Linked DNA regions of Saccharomyces cerevisiae S288C. The gene in region 4 interacts genetically with the main gene of each other region. Each region holds a gene or a part of one and is shown on either strand. Other genes may lie near its edges.

What was found.
Region 1: of GPH1 (region 4) and SOD1, extra expression of one rescues a mutant of the other (dosage rescue), as found in Saccharomyces cerevisiae (one study listed by BioGRID).
Region 2: mutations in GPH1 (region 4) and FBP1 together harm fitness more than expected from each alone (negative genetic interaction), as found in Saccharomyces cerevisiae (2 studies listed by BioGRID).
Region 3: of GPH1 (region 4) and PIB2, extra expression of one is lethal in a mutant of the other (dosage lethality), as found in Saccharomyces cerevisiae (2 studies listed by BioGRID, with this or other methods).

Annotation. Positions count from the first base shown.
Region 1 is NC_001142.9:620,726-625,425, reverse strand, and holds SOD1 (superoxide dismutase SOD1), read left to right. Parts: upstream 1-2,411; coding exon 2,412-2,876; downstream 2,877-4,700. Other genes in the region: ECM27 (Ecm27p), read right to left, coding at 1-588; ADO1 (adenosine kinase), read right to left, coding at 823-1,845; CTP synthase URA8, read right to left, coding at 2,936-4,672. UniProt on the Saccharomyces cerevisiae protein: Destroys radicals which are normally produced within the cells and which are toxic to biological systems.
Region 2 is NC_001144.5:873,246-876,385, reverse strand, and holds FBP1 (fructose 1,6-bisphosphate 1-phosphatase), read left to right. Parts: upstream 1-1,593; coding exon 1,594-2,640; downstream 2,641-3,140. Other genes in the region: translocon subunit SEC61, read left to right, coding at 1-650; PSY3 (Psy3p), read left to right, coding at 2,832-3,140.
Region 3 is NC_001139.9:449,697-453,986, reverse strand, and holds PIB2 (Pib2p), read left to right. Parts: upstream 1-1,882; coding exon 1,883-3,790; downstream 3,791-4,290. Other genes in the region: dolichyl-diphosphooligosaccharide--protein glycosyltransferase subunit STT3, read right to left, coding at 1-1,583; PGD1 (Pgd1p), read left to right, coding at 4,030-4,290. UniProt on the Saccharomyces cerevisiae protein: Functions as an intracellular glutamine sensor that directly activates the TORC1 signaling pathway, to promote cell growth when glutamine is available. May play a role in repressing NPR1 activity independently of TORC1 signaling.
Region 4 is NC_001148.4:858,625-865,735, reverse strand, and holds GPH1 (glycogen phosphorylase), read right to left. Parts: upstream 4,431-7,111; coding exon 1,722-4,430; downstream 1-1,721. Other genes in the region: cyclin-dependent serine/threonine protein kinase SGV1, read left to right, coding at 1-1,287; YPR159C-A (uncharacterized protein), read left to right, coding at 5,321-5,422; beta-glucan synthesis-associated protein KRE6, read right to left, coding at 5,991-7,111. UniProt on the Saccharomyces cerevisiae protein: Phosphorylase is an important allosteric enzyme in carbohydrate metabolism. Enzymes from different sources differ in their regulatory mechanisms and in their natural substrates. However, all known phosphorylases share catalytic and structural properties.

The DNA.
Region 1 (4,700 bases), on a different chromosome or scaffold from region 4:
TAACTTAACGACTAGATAAAAGGCATAAAGGAACGCCATCAAAAGGCAATTCAGCACAGTGACCTGATTCATAAGGGAAACGTAACTCATTACGCACATGGCAGCTAAAGAAAATAACAAGTCTCTCATGATGGATAGTTTTTGAATTTGCGAGATTTCAATGTGAGTTCTTGACATAATAATAAAAATGGAGCCCTCTACAATGCACAGGATAATGCCGCAAGCGCCAAGCACCTCACCAATTGATAGCGATACTGAGGTTGACCTTGTTTCTCTCGTAGAGGTTGCCCAGCTCATTAAGTTGGAAAATAGGTCAGGCGAAGAGTTACACCAAGATAGTAGAACTGCCATTAATGCCCCAGTATGAGATGCATGGGACGCCGTTTTTGAGACTAAAGAACCATTCGATCGAAGGCTGTTGGGATCTGATATATGGGCCACGTTGGGGCAAAGAAAATCGGATGCACATATTCCTAATAACACGAAAGCAATAATGATATGAAATAAGCTCGGCACAATAAACGTTACTGAAAGTTTAGGATCCTTGTAAAGTAATCGTGGATGGGCGACATTGATTGCCCAGTCCATATTATTGTGTTATTGTTGCTTGTGTACGGCCGTATGTGGAGAGGATGAACGAGTATTTTGTTCTTAGCGCTGCTTGTCCTTTTTTCTTGAAGCTGTACTTTATAGCGCCTCTTTTCCTTATTGTGGTAACGGTGGCTTATTTGGTTTAAGAACAAGCGGTAAACATGTCTACGAATGAAAAGCTAGAGGGAACACGTAGAGTATATTTTATTTCTATTATATTGTAAGAAGAATCTATTTAGAGTAAGATATTTTTTCGGAAGGGTAAGAGGGACCAACTTCTTGAATAGACAAAGCAGCTAGCCATTGACCCATGTCAATAGAGGTTTCCAAATCTTCACCTTTAGTCAACCCAGCCATAAAGCCACCAGCGAAGGCGTCACCAGCACCGTTGGTGTCGACGATCTTAGAAGAGTCCAAAGGTTTGACTGGATATGTGCTGGTACCCTTGGAGGACACGACCACTGTTGGTTCGACACCGTGGGTGAAGATGACAGTCTTTTCAACTGGAGAGTCCTTGACAATTCTTTGAGCAATAGCTTCCAAATCAGTGTTGGCACAGTCTAATTGGAAGGCGTCGCAAAAGGCTTCGGCCTCCGATTCGTTAGCGATGATGACGGTAGCATAAGGCAAAACTCTGGCCAATGCGTCTTTGAAGACATGAGGAATGAAAGGAGCACTAAAGTTCAACACGAAAGGTTTGCTGTTCTCTTTAGCATGTTGGCCCAACTTAACGATAGCGTCTGGAGACACGGTCAAGTGGAAACCACCGATGTAGAAGAGCTTAGCTGCTTCGACCAAGTCCCAATGCTTGTCCAAGTGGTCTGGAGTAAAGAAATTGGCAGCACCCAAGTCAGTGACCAAGGACCGGTTATGGCCAGTGATTAATGCGGCACACTTACCGGTACCAATATCATTTTGAACTTGGTACATAGACTTGACACCAGCTTTTTCGTTTTCGTTAAGCAATCTCTCGCTGAACTTGTCCTTACCGACGGAACCGAAGTACACCACCTGGCCGGCGCCCAAAACGTATGCTGCCCCTCTAGCAGTGTTTTGAGCAGCACCACCTGCAACAAGCTTTGTTTCTGGCATCTGTAAGAGCTCGTCAAAAATAGCCATCTTAGCATCGCCTGATTTGGCATCGACCAAAATTGCGTCGTTTTCCTTTAGAGAATACTTGGCCAGGTATTCAGCCGTGACGTCGGCTTGGAAATCTAAAAGTGGGTTACCCAATACTACCAATGGTGCGGTCATAATTGCTTGCTCTTTCTTTTGCTGTTATCTTTGGTTCTACCCTGCACAAGATAAACTGAGATGACTACCTAATTAGACATGGCATGCCTATAAGTAAAGAGAATTGGGCTCGAAGAATAATTTTCAAGCCTGCCCTCATCACGTACGACGACACTGCGACTCATCCATGTGAAAATTATCGGCATCTGCAAAAAAAGTTTCAACTTCCACAGGTAATATTGGCATGATGCGAAATTGGACGTAAGTATCTCTGAAGTGCAGCCGATTGGGCGTGCGACTCACCCACTCAGGACATGATCTCAGTAGCGGGTTCGATAAGGCGATGACAGCGCAAATGCCGCTTACTGGAAGTACAGAACCCGCTCCCTTAGGGGCACCCACCCCAGCACGCCGGGGGGTTAAACCGGTGTGTCGGAATTAGTAAGCGGACATCCCTTCCGCTGGGCTCGCCATCGCAGATATATATATAAGAAGATGGTTTTGGGCAAATGTTTAGCTGTAACTATGTTGCGGAAAAACAGGCAAGAAAGCAATCGCGCAAACAAATAAAACATAATTAATTTATAATGGTTCAAGCAGTCGCAGTGTTAAAGGGTGATGCCGGTGTCTCTGGTGTTGTCAAGTTCGAACAGGCTTCCGAATCCGAGCCAACCACTGTCTCTTACGAGATCGCTGGTAACAGTCCTAACGCAGAACGTGGGTTCCACATTCATGAGTTTGGAGATGCCACCAATGGTTGTGTCTCTGCTGGTCCTCACTTCAATCCTTTCAAGAAGACACATGGTGCTCCAACTGACGAAGTCAGACATGTCGGTGACATGGGTAACGTAAAGACGGACGAAAATGGTGTGGCCAAGGGCTCCTTCAAGGACTCTTTGATCAAGCTTATCGGTCCTACCTCCGTTGTAGGCAGAAGCGTCGTTATCCACGCCGGCCAAGATGACTTAGGTAAGGGTGACACTGAAGAATCTTTGAAGACTGGTAATGCCGGTCCAAGACCAGCCTGTGGTGTCATTGGTCTAACCAACTAATGTTAATGATAATATACTTGAATAAAAACCGTATGTAAGTAAGTAGTAAGCGCATCAATTCATTCATTTTCATTTCCCTCGCTTAGATTTATGTCCTTGATCACTTCACCAAGTGTGCCGGAGGCTGCGGCCACAAGCCCCCAAAACGGTCTTGATGGTTCCAGCACCTTCGATGTATACTCTGGATGGTATTGAGTGCCCACGTAGTATGGATGGCCTTTCAATTCGAATATTTCGCAACGCTGGCCCGTCTCGTCCTTACCAACAAAAATAAAGCCACGAGACTCCATATCATTCACTATTTTCGGGTTTATCTCATAGCGATGACGATGTCTCTCATGCACCTCATTAACTTCACCATAAAGCTTCCTTATGTTGCTCCATTCTGAGTTCGGTTGGAAAATGGTAGGCCTCAAACCCAATCTCATCGTGCCACCCATGTGTTCCTTGTCGATCTCGGGCATGTATATGACTACTTGGTCTTCAGGAGCTAGTAGTGTCTCGTCCAAAAATTCTGTAGAACTGCTGTTTGGGCGGCCTATCACATTGCGGGCGAACTCGATAGCGGCAACTTGTAATCCAAGACAGACACCAAGAAAGGGAACACCGGATTCACGGGCCCATTTGGCAGCAAGAATCATACCTTCAATACCTCTCGTGCCAAATCCACCAGGAACCAAAATTCCGTCGGCGGAACTGAGCTTATTCCATGAATCGTGGAACTTGTTCTTGTCCACCTCTTGAGTTTCGGGCTCTAGGTTACTTGCCTCTACCCAGAGGATTTCTAGCTGACGACGGCACTTCATGCTTGCGTGTTCTAAGGATTTGGTCACAGATAGGTAGGAATCCTTCAAATTAGTGTATTTTCCCACAAGAGCAATCTTGACAACATCATCAGAATCATCTAGGTTTTTGGTCATGTTTTCCCAGTTAGTCAATAATTGAGACCCTCTTTCCTTGTCTTCCAAGGTTAGAGGCACTTCACCTAATTTCAACCTTGAATGGAGGTAGTCGATCATATGTTGCTTTAGCAGCAATAAGGGAACGTGGTACGTGGAGTTAACATCATGAACGTTGACCACTTGCTCCGGCCCCACATGGCAAAACATGGCAATCTTGTCAATAGTGCTCCTGTTAAGTTCTTCGCTGCATCTGCAGGCAATCATATCGGGAATAAGCCCTAATGACCTTAAATCTTTGATTGCTGCTTGGGTGGGTTTCGTCTTCTGTTCACCATGAATGACGGGCACAAGTGAAACATGGATCAGGGCGAAATTCTCTCTTCCAACTTCGAACTGAAATTGTCGTAATGCTTCCACGAAGGGCGCACTCTCAATGTCACCGACCGTACCACCTAACTCGATGATACAGACGTCTGGTTCTAATCCTGTGTCATCCACTGGAATTTTTGAAACACGTTGAATCCAATCCTGAATTGCGTTAGTCAAATGAGGAACAATTTGAACTGTCTTACCTAAATAATCACCTCTCCTTTCTCTGGAAATTACGTGGGAGTATATCTTACCGGTGGTGATGTTGTGGTCCCTGCTTAAGGTAATACCGAGGTACCGCTCGTAATTACCGAGATCCAAGTCCGTTTCCCCACCATCATCAAGTACAAAACACTCACCATGTTCCAAGGGAGACATCGTCCCGGCGTCAATATTCATATATGGGTCAATCTTGATGGAAGTAACCTTTAGGCCGAGGGTTTTCAGTAGCATCCCTGTAGAGGACGCTAAAACACCCTTACCAATACCTGAGATAACACCACCAGAAACAACAACGTATTTCATTTTCAATAGCCGCCTTTAAATTTTTTTT
Region 2 (3,140 bases), on a different chromosome or scaffold from region 4:
ACGAATTGCCCATCAGGTCAACCAAAGTGAGAGGTCAAATTGGTATCTACCCCATCAAACTCTTTTATACTTCCAACACCCCAATCATGTTGCAGAGTGCATTGACTTCTAACATTTTCTTGATCTCTCAAATCCTTTTCCAGAAATACCCAACCAATCCATTGATTCGTTTGATCGGTGTTTGGGGTATCAGGCCGGGCACCCAGGGCCCTCAAATGGCCTTGAGCGGGTTGGCCTACTACATCCAACCATTAATGTCTTTATCCGAAGCTCTTCTGGACCCTATCAAGACCATCGTCTACATCACATTTGTTCTTGGTTCATGCGCAGTATTTTCCAAGACATGGATCGAAATCTCCGGCACTTCCCCACGTGACATTGCCAAACAATTCAAAGATCAAGGCATGGTCATTAACGGTAAGAGAGAAACCTCCATTTACAGAGAATTGAAGAAGATCATTCCAACTGCTGCTGCTTTCGGCGGTGCTACCATCGGTGCTCTTTCTGTTGGCTCCGACCTACTAGGTACTTTAGGTTCTGGGGCATCCATTTTGATGGCTACTACCACCATCTACGGCTACTACGAAGCTGCCGCCAAGGAAGGTGGGTTTACTAAGAACCTCGTTCCAGGATTTTCTGATTTGATGTGAATATAAAATGAAAATAATATCCAAAGAAAAAAAAAATCGCATTTAGCCACACCCCTCCCTCTATTTTTTTATTTTGTTACCATAGTTTTATCAACGCCTTCTTACACCTGTATAGAGCTAAATAACTATATATATGTATGCGCAAATAATTCCTAGAAAATCGTCGATTTTTATAAATTCTAACCGCCGATTAACAATATCATACGCGATCTAAATTTATAATAGGCGTGAAGCAAAGGAAGTTGATAAAAAAAAAGTAAAGAACTCCTCATAGGGGGCTCGAACCCCTGACATTTCGGTATCCTTGCTTAAGCAAATGCGCTTAAAAGCCGAACGCTCTACCAACTGAGCTAACAAGGATGAGTTCTTCGAATTTTCCAGTCTAAGATAGACAACCCATCAAACTGCATGGTCCCGGGCTAACTTCTGCTCTCTTTTCCGGACGGATGGAATCGCCGCTTTTGAATTCACCTCCGGGGTATTATTATTATTCTTAGTAGTCGCGGTCGTGCGGACACCCGGAGTTATGCGGGCCCGAAAGCTCATTATGTAGTAAAGCTAGGTAATGTTAAGGGCGTAAGAGCCAACGCAAGGCAGCAATAGCCTGGTATTCCCACATATCAAGAAAGCTTAAAAAGTTGAGACAGGGAATTTGAAGGCGAAGATTGCCGAACTGGCCAATACCCACTACTTTTTTTTTGGTTTGCTTGGTTTCTTCCTGTCGCTTGCCAACTTGTGGCATCTTCCCCACACTATATTATAAGGATCGTCCTATGTATAGGCAATATTATCCATTTCACTCGCTAACAAATGTACGTATATATATGGAGCAACAAGTAGTGCAATTACAGACGTGTATTTTGTCTTGATCTTGCTTTTTGTATGATAGGCCTAAGAATAACAGTGCGAACATATAAGAAACATCCCTCATACTACCACACATATGCCAACTCTAGTAAATGGACCAAGAAGAGACTCTACCGAAGGGTTTGATACCGATATCATCACTCTTCCTAGATTCATAATCGAGCACCAGAAGCAATTTAAGAACGCTACTGGTGATTTCACATTAGTACTGAATGCCTTGCAATTCGCGTTCAAATTTGTATCTCACACCATCAGACGTGCTGAATTGGTTAACTTGGTTGGGTTAGCAGGCGCTTCCAACTTCACTGGTGACCAGCAAAAGAAGTTGGACGTTCTAGGTGATGAAATATTTATCAATGCCATGAGGGCTAGTGGGATCATCAAGGTCCTTGTATCTGAAGAACAGGAAGACTTGATCGTTTTTCCCACAAACACGGGCTCATACGCAGTGTGTTGTGATCCTATTGATGGCTCCTCAAATTTGGACGCCGGTGTCTCCGTTGGAACTATCGCGTCTATATTCAGACTGCTACCAGACTCATCAGGTACTATAAACGACGTACTGAGATGTGGTAAAGAAATGGTAGCCGCTTGCTATGCCATGTACGGATCCTCTACGCATCTAGTATTGACATTGGGTGATGGAGTTGATGGGTTTACCTTAGACACAAACTTGGGCGAATTCATCTTGACTCATCCTAACTTAAGAATTCCGCCTCAAAAGGCCATCTACTCAATTAATGAAGGTAACACCCTCTACTGGAACGAGACTATAAGAACATTTATTGAGAAAGTCAAACAACCCCAAGCAGACAACAACAACAAGCCTTTCTCGGCTAGGTATGTTGGATCCATGGTTGCTGATGTTCACAGGACGTTTCTTTACGGTGGCCTTTTCGCATACCCTTGCGACAAGAAGAGCCCCAACGGAAAACTGAGGTTGCTTTATGAGGCCTTCCCAATGGCTTTCTTAATGGAACAAGCAGGGGGAAAAGCGGTCAACGATCGCGGAGAGAGAATCTTGGATTTGGTGCCAAGTCATATCCATGACAAATCTTCTATTTGGTTGGGTTCTTCAGGTGAAATTGACAAATTTTTAGACCATATTGGCAAGTCACAGTAGTTCAATGATCGCCTTCTTTTCTTATTTTCTTTGTTCTGTACTTTAGTACGCGAAAAAAAAAAATCTGTATATGTCCTTATATATATATATATTTATATATATATATGTGTATGTATGTGTACCGTAAGCATTACTCCTTCTAATAATGAAAATTCTTAGGAAAAGAGAAAGGAAGTAGCGAATGGAATGGGATGGAAGTTTTAAAGAACATTAGAATTTATCCTTTGTCAAACTTCATCACATCAACCAAGAACTATATAAACCTACCAAATGAATTAAGAAACCTAATTAGTGAAGAGCAGGAGAGTAAACTAGGGTTCTTGCACATCATTGAAAGTGATTTTAAACCTTCGGTAGCGCTGCAAAAGTTGGTGAATTGTACTACGGGGGACGAAAAGATCCTAATCATAGATATAGTATCAATATGGTCCCAACAAAAGCAAAGACAGCATGGCGCGATCTACATGAATTCGCTATCTTGCATAAACATCACGGGATTA
Region 3 (4,290 bases), on a different chromosome or scaffold from region 4:
TCTGCCATGCCACCAATTTGGTAACCGTAATCCCACCACGCTGCAACCTTACTGTCCTCATCAGAGTTCATTCTTAACCAATAGTACGCTTCCCTGAAGTCGTCGATCAACGCCAATTTACCATCTGGGGTTTGTGATGGCAAAACAACAGAAGGAGAAGAGTATGCAGTTCTTGTTACCCAAGTAGAATGGAAGACGAAAAGATACAAATAAAAGATGAATGATCCGGAAACAATCAATTTGGCCAGTAGTGCCGCAGGTTTGATGGCGTATTTGCGGTCACTTGTCTTGAAATCCAGGTAGATGTCAAATATCTTGGACAATGCGACGGCGGCGGACACACAGATGACTGGTGTCAAAGTCAACATCAATCTAACCATAACACCGGCAAAGTACGAACACAGAACGGAGTAAGCGATGACAAAAACGTGCTCGTCTTTCAAGTCGAGGAATAGTAGGAATACACCGGCGGGGAATAGCCAGATCAAAAAGTGGGTATCAAAGAAGAAAGCGGGCCACGAAACGGGTTGATGTTCGGAAACGGAGGCAATGATAGGAATGTGGATCTTTGCGTAGTTGGTATCCCATAACGAATAAAATCTACCAGTCCAAGGGGCAATCAACCCCATATAGGTCAAGGCAGAAAGTCCGACCACACCAAGGACCAAGATCAAAAACAGAGAAACCATCATGATGACTTTAAACTTAGCTGTGCTGATTTGGCCCTTCACGAAGTCACCGAAGGCGACAATCTGAATCAAACCGAAAACACCCAATGCGGCCATGTGGTCGTTAGACCTGATAGGTAGGAAACCGACAAATGGGATCTGCATGGATGCAACAGTTCCAATAGCGTACCAAGTGGTGTAGGCAGAATACAGTTTGGACGAATATCTGCCCATCAAAATCAGCAAAAAGACATGGAGTGGGATCAAGTTGGTGATGAACACGTATCCACCCCAAGCCGACACCATGTAGAAGTAGAATAAAGCTGCACACGTTGCGTGCATGATAGAGCCAGTCTTTTGGGCCTTAATCCAAAACATGAAAGTGACCATTAATAGTGTAATGGCAATGGCCTCATTATCGTAGGACCCCGCCACTGATCTAGATATATAACCGGGGACAATGGCTATAAAACCAGCAGCCAAAAGCCCAGCGCTGGCATCTTTAATCTCTTTCGTAAATTCGTAAGTCGCCCAGGCGGTGACCCCAGAAAATAGTGGCGCAAATAGCACACAAACGTTTCTGATGTCAATGGGCAAGCCCAACCAGTTGCGCAGGGCGTGCCAGATGAACGCACTAGTCGTCATCAAACCAGGATATAAAGTCCCTCCAGTAACCCTTCCGAGGGGGTACCAGGTACGGTCGTCAAACCAGTTCAAAAACTTGTAAAACGAATTGTTGACGAGATATTTGGTAGCCCTATAATTGAACCAGGGGTCGAATTCATGGATAATAGACTCAAATTTGATGACTGCAAACAAACGTGATGATATGGCAGCCCCAAAAATCGCCACGAAGATGACGAGCTTGAGGATGGTCTGAAACACAGACAAAACACACGACCGGTCGGATCCCATGGCAGCTGTGATAATGACGAATGGTAGTTAGGATTTACGGCTGTGAATGCGATTGCGGATGCTATGTCACGTTGAATTAGACCGTGCTTTTGCTGCTTTTCTTTCTTTCAGACTTGCTCTTTTGTTCGTGTCTTATTTTGTCAATTCTCGACCAGCGCGAAAAAGCAACCGTCGATGGTGACCATTTAGCAGAGGCGAAGAGAAGTAAAAGAAAGCTTATGATATGACTATTGAGACCTGGAATAGGTACGAAGCGCCAGTGAGGAGGACTGGGCAGCACAGTTGTAGTGGAGACCAGAATGACTGCGTTGCATAGTGTGTCCAAAACGCCCGCGATCAAGGAAGAGGAGGAGGACGGTGATGAGCGAGACGGCAGAGGAGTTCCCCTGGGACCAAGGAACCATGACTACCGTGGCAGGAAAGGTGATGAGGAAAGCGGTGCTGACACCGTGACATCTCCCATCACGTTTGAAAAGAAGAAGATAGCGCCCAGGGCGTCAACGCATTCCGAACAGAGTATTTTGAGCAGCATCTCATTGAAATCGATGGTAAATCAACATCGTCAGCAGCAGTTGCAGCAAGAGAGCTCAACAGGGGCAGGCACTGGGTTTGTTGACAGAAAGCAGCAGATCCAATCTCCGGCGATGGTGTCCATATTGAGGAAGAACTCTGCTGAGGAGAATGTTCGCAGCAGCCACAGTAGCAAGCTCGGTGAAGGGCAGATAGATGGTAGGAAGGCTTCTGCTAGTAAGGAGATCGGCAAGACGTTGCCATTCACGGATGACCAAAGATCGAACCCTGAACTAGATCCCACCAATAGCGTGGTGGATGTTAGCAGGGGCAAGAATACAAAGAGCAAAACTGTGTTCAATGAGTTAGAAGATGATGCCGATGACGATGACGAGGTTCGACAAAAGAATCTAACCACGCAGGCGTTACGCAAGTTGTCGTCGTTCAAAATGAATGCTAGTTCTAATTTGAGGTTGAGTAAAGAAAACAAGGCGAAAGAGTCTTCATCTTCGTCCACGTCTTCAGTGTCGTCATCGTCGACGTCGAAGGTGGAAAATATTGTCGACAAGCTGACTACAACGAATTCTAGCTCGATGTCCCAACTGCGGTTTGGCAACACGAACGTCATTATTGATTCGGTGAATCATGCGGCGAAACCGCCGCATCAGCAGATGCTAAGGAAACCCTCGCTGGAATTTTTACCGCAGCCTGCTTCGAGCACTAATCTGAATTTTAATTCCAATAAACATAAATCAAATGTAAGACAGATCAGTAACCCTAAAAAACCGCTATACATCCCCGCCGTGCTGAGGAAAGTTTCAGAGACAAACATAACTAATGACGATCTGTTGAATGCAACATTGTCGTCTTACTACAAGAAGGCATCTAACCTGGAACATGGCTTTAATCCAAGCAAGTCGCAATCCGCTAGCGTTCAGAATGCGAACAACCTACGGATCATATCTTCTCAATCCAGCGTACAATCCAACACATCGTCAATCTTGGAAAGCTACAAAAACAAAATATCCTCGTACTTGTTCCCGAATTCTATTCCGAACAGCGACAGAATCAACTTAATACCAACTATTTCAAACAGAAACTCTGCCAGAGTAAACCCGCCCACTAAGGACCACTGGATTCCGGACAGTAAGAGGAATTCTTGTCGTTACTGCCATAAGCCTTTTACCCTGTGGGAAAGGAAACATCATTGCAGGCATTGCGGGGACATCTTTTGTCAAGACCATTTGCGCCATTGGCTGTACCTGGACTCGCAGGCAAATTTTATAATGATCAACGAACTAAACAACGGTGGCATAAATGGCGGTGGCACTCTCTGTAAAATATGCGATGACTGTCTGGTCGAGTACGAGAACCTTTCAACCACGAACCATAACGCAAACACGAACGAGGATAACATAAACGTTGAGGAGGGCGAAGATGACGATAATGACAATAGGAAGAAATTACGCAATTACTACAAGAATAGGCAGATGAACGCTCTTTTCAGACCAAAGAAGGGCGGTTCGTCCCAAGAGCATGCCACGGTTGATCGAGACACAACAACGCCCATCCAGGTGAAGTCGAACGACGAAGAAGCAGATAATGAGAATACGGGGGGAGAACAAGAAGAAGGTAATGATGTTTTGGGCAGTGTTATCGGCTCTGTGCCTGCAAACTGGAATTGGAGTAGTTTCTGATGAACATTTTTTGCGAGACAAGCGAAGAGAGGATGTACACTATTGATGTATGACCATTATGTATACAATAAACTTAATATAATATGATATAATATAATATAATATATAACACTAACACTTTCCTGAGGATTTTCGGTATGGCGCCGAGCGAAATTTTAAAGAGAACAACAGAAACAGTCACCAAGACTTCTTCAATTAGGCAGCGCAAAACGGACACAACAGCAGTAAAGACAACCGGAATGGACTCGATTATACCGGCAGGCGTCAAGCTAGATGATTTACAAGTGATATTGGCTAAGAACGAGAATGAAACCAGGGACAAAGTGTGTAAGCAGATCAACGAAGCACGCGATGAAATTCTGCCGTTGCGATTGCAGTTCAATGAATTCATACAGATAATGGCAAACATAGACCAAGAAGGATCCAAGCAGGCTGACCGTATGGCCAAATACCTACATATCAGAGACAAGATTTTGCAACTGAACGATAGATTCCAGACT
Region 4 (7,111 bases):
CCTGGTGGTGCAGGTTCCGGCGCCAAATATACATCAGTAGTCGTAACGAGATGGTATAGAGCACCTGAGTTGGTGCTTGGTGATAAACAGTATACAACAGCTGTTGATATATGGGGTGTCGGATGCGTTTTCGCAGAATTTTTTGAGAAAAAACCTATTTTACAGGGAAAAACGGATATTGATCAGGGACATGTTATTTTCAAACTACTTGGTACACCGACAGAAGAAGATTGGGCCGTGGCTAGATATTTGCCAGGTGCTGAACTAACAACAACTAATTACAAGCCAACGTTGAGGGAAAGATTTGGTAAATATCTAAGTGAAACAGGTCTAGATTTTTTAGGACAGTTGTTAGCGTTAGATCCTTACAAGAGGTTGACCGCTATGTCTGCTAAACACCATCCTTGGTTTAAAGAGGACCCTTTACCATCAGAGAAGATAACATTACCGACGGAAGAAAGTCATGAAGCTGATATTAAGAGGTACAAGGAAGAAATGCACCAATCATTGTCCCAAAGAGTACCTACTGCGCCAAGAGGTCATATAGTTGAAAAGGGTGAATCACCTGTCGTGAAAAATCTTGGGGCGATCCCAAGAGGCCCCAAGAAAGATGACGCAAGTTTTTTGCCTCCATCAAAGAACGTATTGGCTAAGCCGCCTCCTTCGAAAATAAGAGAACTACATCAAAATCCTAGACCGTATCATGTGAACAGCGGATATGCTAAAACTGCGATTCCACCGCCAGCAGCCCCTGCAGGAGTTAATAGATACGGACCCAACAATAGTTCCAGAAATAATCGCTTCAGCGGCAACAGCACTGCACCCAACAACAGCAGGAATCCCGTAAATCGATTTCATCCTGAGACAAATGTCAGCTCTAAATATAATAAAGTACCTTTGCCATTGGGGCCTCAGTCAAGATACCAGGGTAATTCAAATGAGTCCCGGTACAAAAACTCGCCAAATGACTCTAGATATCATAACCCTAGGTACGTGAACAAGCCGGAAACCAACTTCAATAGGCAACCACAGAAATATAGTCGCCAAGAATCCAATGCGCCAATCAATAAAAATTATAATCCTTCAAACGGTTCTCGCAATATGGCTGGTGATCATCATCAAGGCTCGAGACCTTCTCATCCACAATTCCCAATCTCGCCCTCACAGGGGCAGCATCAGCTTACGAGTAAACCAATAGAGAAAAAAAATGGAAGCTTTAAGGATGAAAGAGCGAAACCAGATGAGTCTAAGGAGTTCCAAAATAGTGATATTGCAGATCTATATTAGGTTATACTATTCTCTCTTCCTTTCTGGCCTCGTGGCTAATTACGGAAAGTTGTATACTGACTACTATGTAATCTATCACGTTTTGTCACTGTCTCGCTCTTTTCAAACAATCCATAAAATCGAAACTATTGTCAAAACGTCAGTACATCCTACCTGATAGGGACTGTACCAATGTCAACGTTCGAGTAAGTGATAATAAGGACCGCCTTACCCACCTTCAGGACACTCGGTTTTACACAAGCGTTATCCTGCGCGGATTTTCAATATGAAAACAACTAAGTTTTCCTGTAACATCATATATACCATTTAAAAGAGTGCCAAAAAACCGATAACGATTATTTTAAAGGCGTTTTATATAAGAGAAGAAGTAAAGAGAAAAAAGCGCTTACTAGAAATGGGGAGAAGGGTGCCAAAGAGATAAAAAAAACTCCCAGCTAAGTCACTGGTTCAACGTTCCAAATGGTATCGGAGTATTCCTCGATACAACGATCACTGCTAAAGAAGCCGACGTTTGCAACGCTCAGGACACTCTTTTTTAACCATTCTGACCTTTGATTGTGGAACTCCTGGTCCACTAATTCATGGGTGGCCAGATAGGATTCAAAGTCATCACTGACCAGGTAATAATCGCCGTGGTACTTAATACTGTCGACTAAAGGTTTGAATTCATTTGGATTTTCTGGAGAAAATTGTCCACTTTCAATGTAGGATAAAACAGAATCCAAACTAGATGGTAAATCTTGTGGATGGTATTGATGGTTGTATCTCAATTCTTCGACATTTTCACTTAGGTTACCAAACAAGAAGACATTATCTTCACCAATTTCCCTTGTGATTTCCACATTGGCACCATCAACAGTACCAATAATCAAACCACCGTTCATAACAAACTTCATATTAGAAGTACCAGACGCTTCAGTACCAGCAGTAGAAATATGCTCACTCAAGTCACTTGCTGGAATAATGATTTCAGCCTTAGAAACATTATAATCAGCAACAAAGACAACCTTCAACAAATGCTCAATTGACTCGTCGTTATTAACAATGTCAGCAACACAGTTGATCAATTTTATGATCAGCTTAGCCATGTAGTAACCAGGAGCACTCTTACCACCAAAGATTGAAACCTTGCGTGGATATTTCTTGGCAACTTCTTCGATCGAAGCACCGTTCTTCAGCATATTCTTCATTGCCAGGTAACGGTATATAATACCAAAGACGTTTAGCTGTTGACGCTTATATTCATGAATACGTTTAACTTGCATATCAAACAAGGTGTCGTCCAAATACTCTCTGTTAATGATGTCTACTCCATCATTTTCCTTTTTGATTAAATCTACTAATCTGATCTTATTATTAAGCTTGACTTGGTTCCATTTTTTCAAAAACTCCTTATCTTCAACATATTTTCCCAACTGGGTCAGTTTGGCCATGTCCAACAAATACTCCTCTGTTGGATCGTTAAGGGTTTCACTGATCAGTTTAGCCAATGAAGGGTTAGCTTGCTTCAACCATCTCCTTGGTGTGATACCGTTAGTGACATTGACAAACTTTGATGGACCATAGAACTTGACAAAATCTTTAAATATGGTCGTTTTGATTAATTCAGAGTGCAATTCAGCAACACCATTAACCTTGTGTGAACCAACAATAGCCAAAAAGGCCATTCTGATCTGTCTTTCTGGAGAGTTTTCTTCGATGATGGATATACGAGACAAAAGATCAACATCCTTGGGGAATTTTTTGGCCACATCTTGCAAGAAGAACCAGTTGATATCATATATAATTTCCAAATGTCTGGGTAGCAAATGGCCAAAGAGGCCGACGGGCCATTTTTCCAGGGCCTCTTGCATAACAGTGTGGTTAGTATAAGCAAAAGTCTTGGTCACGATGTCCCAAGCCTCGTGCCAATCTAGTTTTTCTAGATCGACCAAAACTCTCTGTAATTCAACGATGGCTAAAGTTGGATGAGTATCATTCAACTGAATAGCCACTTGGTCAGGAAATTCAGTCCATGGCCTCTTGGATTTTTTGAATCTTCTTAAGATGTCGTGTAAGGATGCAGCACACCAGAAGTACTGCTGTTTCAACCTCAACTCCTTACCTTGAGCAAAGTTATCGTTTGGATACAACACAGCGGTTATAGACTCTGCGCGTTGTTGCTGAGCCACAGAGTTTTTATAGTCACCATTATTGAATTTTGCAAAATCAAATTCTGTTGTTGGCCTTGCTTGCCATAGTCTTAAGTTATTTACATTGGAAGTCTTGAAACCCGGAACTGGGAAATCATACGCGACAGCAAGAACTCTTTCCCCACCGATCCATTGTGACGCACTCAGTGTAGTTTTACCGCCTTCTGGTCTATCAACATAACCATAAAAGGTGACAGGAATTTGCACTTCGTTACGTTCAATTTCCCATGGATTACCAGAATTTAACCAGTAATCTGGAGTTTCCACCTGGTAACCGTCAATAATCTTTTGAGCAAAGATACCATACTCATAACGTAGACCATAACCCCAGGCAGGGATGCCTTCCGTTGCCATTGAGTCGACGAAGCAAGCTGCAAGACGACCTAGACCACCATTACCTAAACCTGCGTCCGGTTCTTGGTCCAAGACATCCTCTAACTTGAAACCTAAATCATCCAAAGCCCCTTTAATCATTTCTCTTGGTTTTCCCTTTGAGGCAGCAGGGTCTTCCGGATCTTCAATCTTCATATTAATCAGGGCATTATCCAAAGCCCTACCCATCAAAAACTCCAAAGACAAATAGTAAACTCTCTTTGGGTCTCTTGTGGTGAATTTCTGCTGAGTTTTGTTCCAGTCAATGACCAAATTGTCACGAATACTCATCGAAGCAGCTTCATAAGCAGCCATGTCATCACAATTATATAGGGAACGTGCTAATGTAGTTTCCACATGGTCAATGAATCTATCTTGAAAATCTTCTGCCTTGTTAAATTTTTTGACTTGATGCTTATTCCATAACGCTCTTGACTTTAAAGGAATCATCGTGTCAATTGACTTGATTTCTTGGGGAAGAAACCCCGTAAGTCTCCTTGTAAGCCTTGGGATTTGGTGTGGAGAAGTAGGTTCTTCGGTTATCATATCATTGGTAGTACTAGTACTAGCTGGCGGCATTGTTCAAAATTAAATTAAGTTGAAAGCTGCTTTACTGAAATTGTAATGTAGAGAAGTCAAAAAAGATCCAATTGTTTTTCTTTTGGATATTTTTAGTAATCGTTACCTTCTCAATCTGTGCTTACTTTATATTACAATAGCAAGCAGAAAAAACTTATAATACTTCGTACGTAATCAAAACAAAAGGTACAACAAGAAACGGGAAGGCACAAAGAATCTTGCTTTACTGCTATACAAACTTCATGCTCCTTTTATACATATAATATATTCGTCGGTGTTCCTTCCTTATCTTTGTAGCATGCACATGGTAGTTATTAACCTCCCCTGAAACTTTTTTAGCGAAAATTATCCACCCCTTACTTATTTCCTCGAGAGTCTCTAAAAAGTAAAAATACAATAACGGTAATTGGGGAAGGCGTTCCTTGTTAATTCAAAATGTTATCCTTGAAACATAGAAGGTGCTGGCTGCATCTCGCAGAGCTTCCTCTTCCGTTGAGCGTTGTATTCTTCCCCCCACAGTGCTACTAGGCGATGCCGCTACCCCTTGAAGGGCCTTCCCGCTGTGGGGCAGCGGCCTTTTTTCCTTAGTGGGAAACAAGCACCGGGGTATATTTCATTGTCTATCAGGAGAAGAGATCGTATACAAATGTTCGTGAGACGGTTTCATCTTGACTAGTTGCCTTGCTAGTCGGATAACTAGTGGAAAGCAGTAGGACACTCCCGATGAGTTTGCGTTTCCACGGGGTTTGACAGAGCTACCTATTGTCTTTTTCATCGAAGGAAACGGTAGTTGGACCTTGCCTTGGATAAGTTGGTGAATCATCCAGAGCTTTAGAAGGGAGCAAAAAATAAAATCTGCGCAAGCCCGGAATCGAACCGGGGGCCCAACGATGGCAACGTTGGATTTTACCACTAAACCACTTGCGCTTGTTATTTACATGAGTGTGGTACTTCTATTGATGGTAGGTGTTCCATTACTTTTTTCGTCTTAAGATGAGCGAGCAAACACAGGGAGAAAATAAAGCGCAATTATTTACCTCATAGGGTACACAATATCCGTGAGAAAAGGATGAATTTGAAATAATTATACAGACTCCTTTTTTTTCAACGTAAAATTATAAGCATAGATTAGAGGCGCTCCTGGATAATAATAGGAACACACACAAGTAAATCAGCAATTTCTCATATCGTACTTATTCGGTAGAGTTAATAATATTCTACTAAAATAACTACTGGTAAGTAGTGAGAGCTTGATTTTTGTACTAATAACTTGTTTCAAAAAAAAAAACGAATAATCAGTTTTACAAAAATGTGTATACCTATATAAACAATCTTAGAGGTAAAGTTCTCCCTCACTAAAAATAATAAAAAATTACGTGCAGATGAGAACCCCGTCTTACCTTAGTATACCTTTAGTTCCCTTTATGACCCGATTTGAACGATAAGTCTTTTATATTTTATTTCTTCCTAAAAGAAAAATGTATGCATTGTAAGTAACTTTTTATGACCATGGTAATAATTAAAGCCGAGGGCTTGTAGATTTACCATCAAAATACCCGCTTAAGAGGATAACTTGAACTTCGAGCTAGTACATTTACCAGTTAGGATATTCTTAGGGAACGTGTAACCAGCATCTTCCCAAGTAGTTAAGTTTGCATTCTGGAATGCATTTAAGTGCGATTGAATATAATCATATGTTGGATAGTCACTTGGATCGCATGTCACGGATATAGCATTACTTGGTTGGTATATTCTAACATAGTCAATCGACATAACCACTGGGAAGAAAATATACTGCCAATCAATATAAGCCCAATTGTTGGAAATACCCAGATTTAGAATAATCGACATTGGTTCTTTACTGATTCTTCTCCAACCAATATTACCATCAGGATGTAAGGCTTTAGCATGAATAGTATAAGTTGGAGTATCACCAACAAACCAACGGATATAACCATTGTCGTCATCGTTCAGATACTCAATGGCATATTTTTGAAAGTAGCCACCGTACTCACCGAATTCATACCAAGTTACGTTCAAAGTTGAGACAGCAGATACGGCTTGTTGAAATGGACCGCCAGCATAAGTGTTCATGGTCGTTGTTGTGAAATTGTAAACCTCGATAAAATCATAGTCAGGCATGTACCAGATATCAAAAGGTGCAATTTGCAAGGATTGAGAGGCTATACCTACACCAATCTTAGTATCAGTTTCACCTTCCAAAACATCAATTTCTGGAGCTCCTCTACCAACACCTTGATTCGGATGATCTTCACCATCACAAGTACAAATACTTAACTTTTGTCCCGGCAAGTAAGAAATACCATCCGGGGAACTTTGGTTGGGTGTAATACCAGCATCACACGATTCATAAGAATAAGGCCAGACACCTTGGGTACTAGCCAAATAACCGGGCCTCCCTAAATTACCCATAGTCCAAAGACCGGGCCACAAACCTGAAACACGGCCATAATTTGGTAGATTTGCAGAGATTTCTAGAGCACCCTGCGTGAAACAAACCTTATTCCAACTCTGCAACATACCTGATCTGTAATATAAGCCATGGTTCTTAAAGGCATCCATTCTCAGCTGCAAGGTTCCGTTCACAGTTGTGGAAGCGTCTGGACTGTACCATTCTAAATCCTTAGTAGCATCATAGTGAACATCAGGGGCTGTCCAGT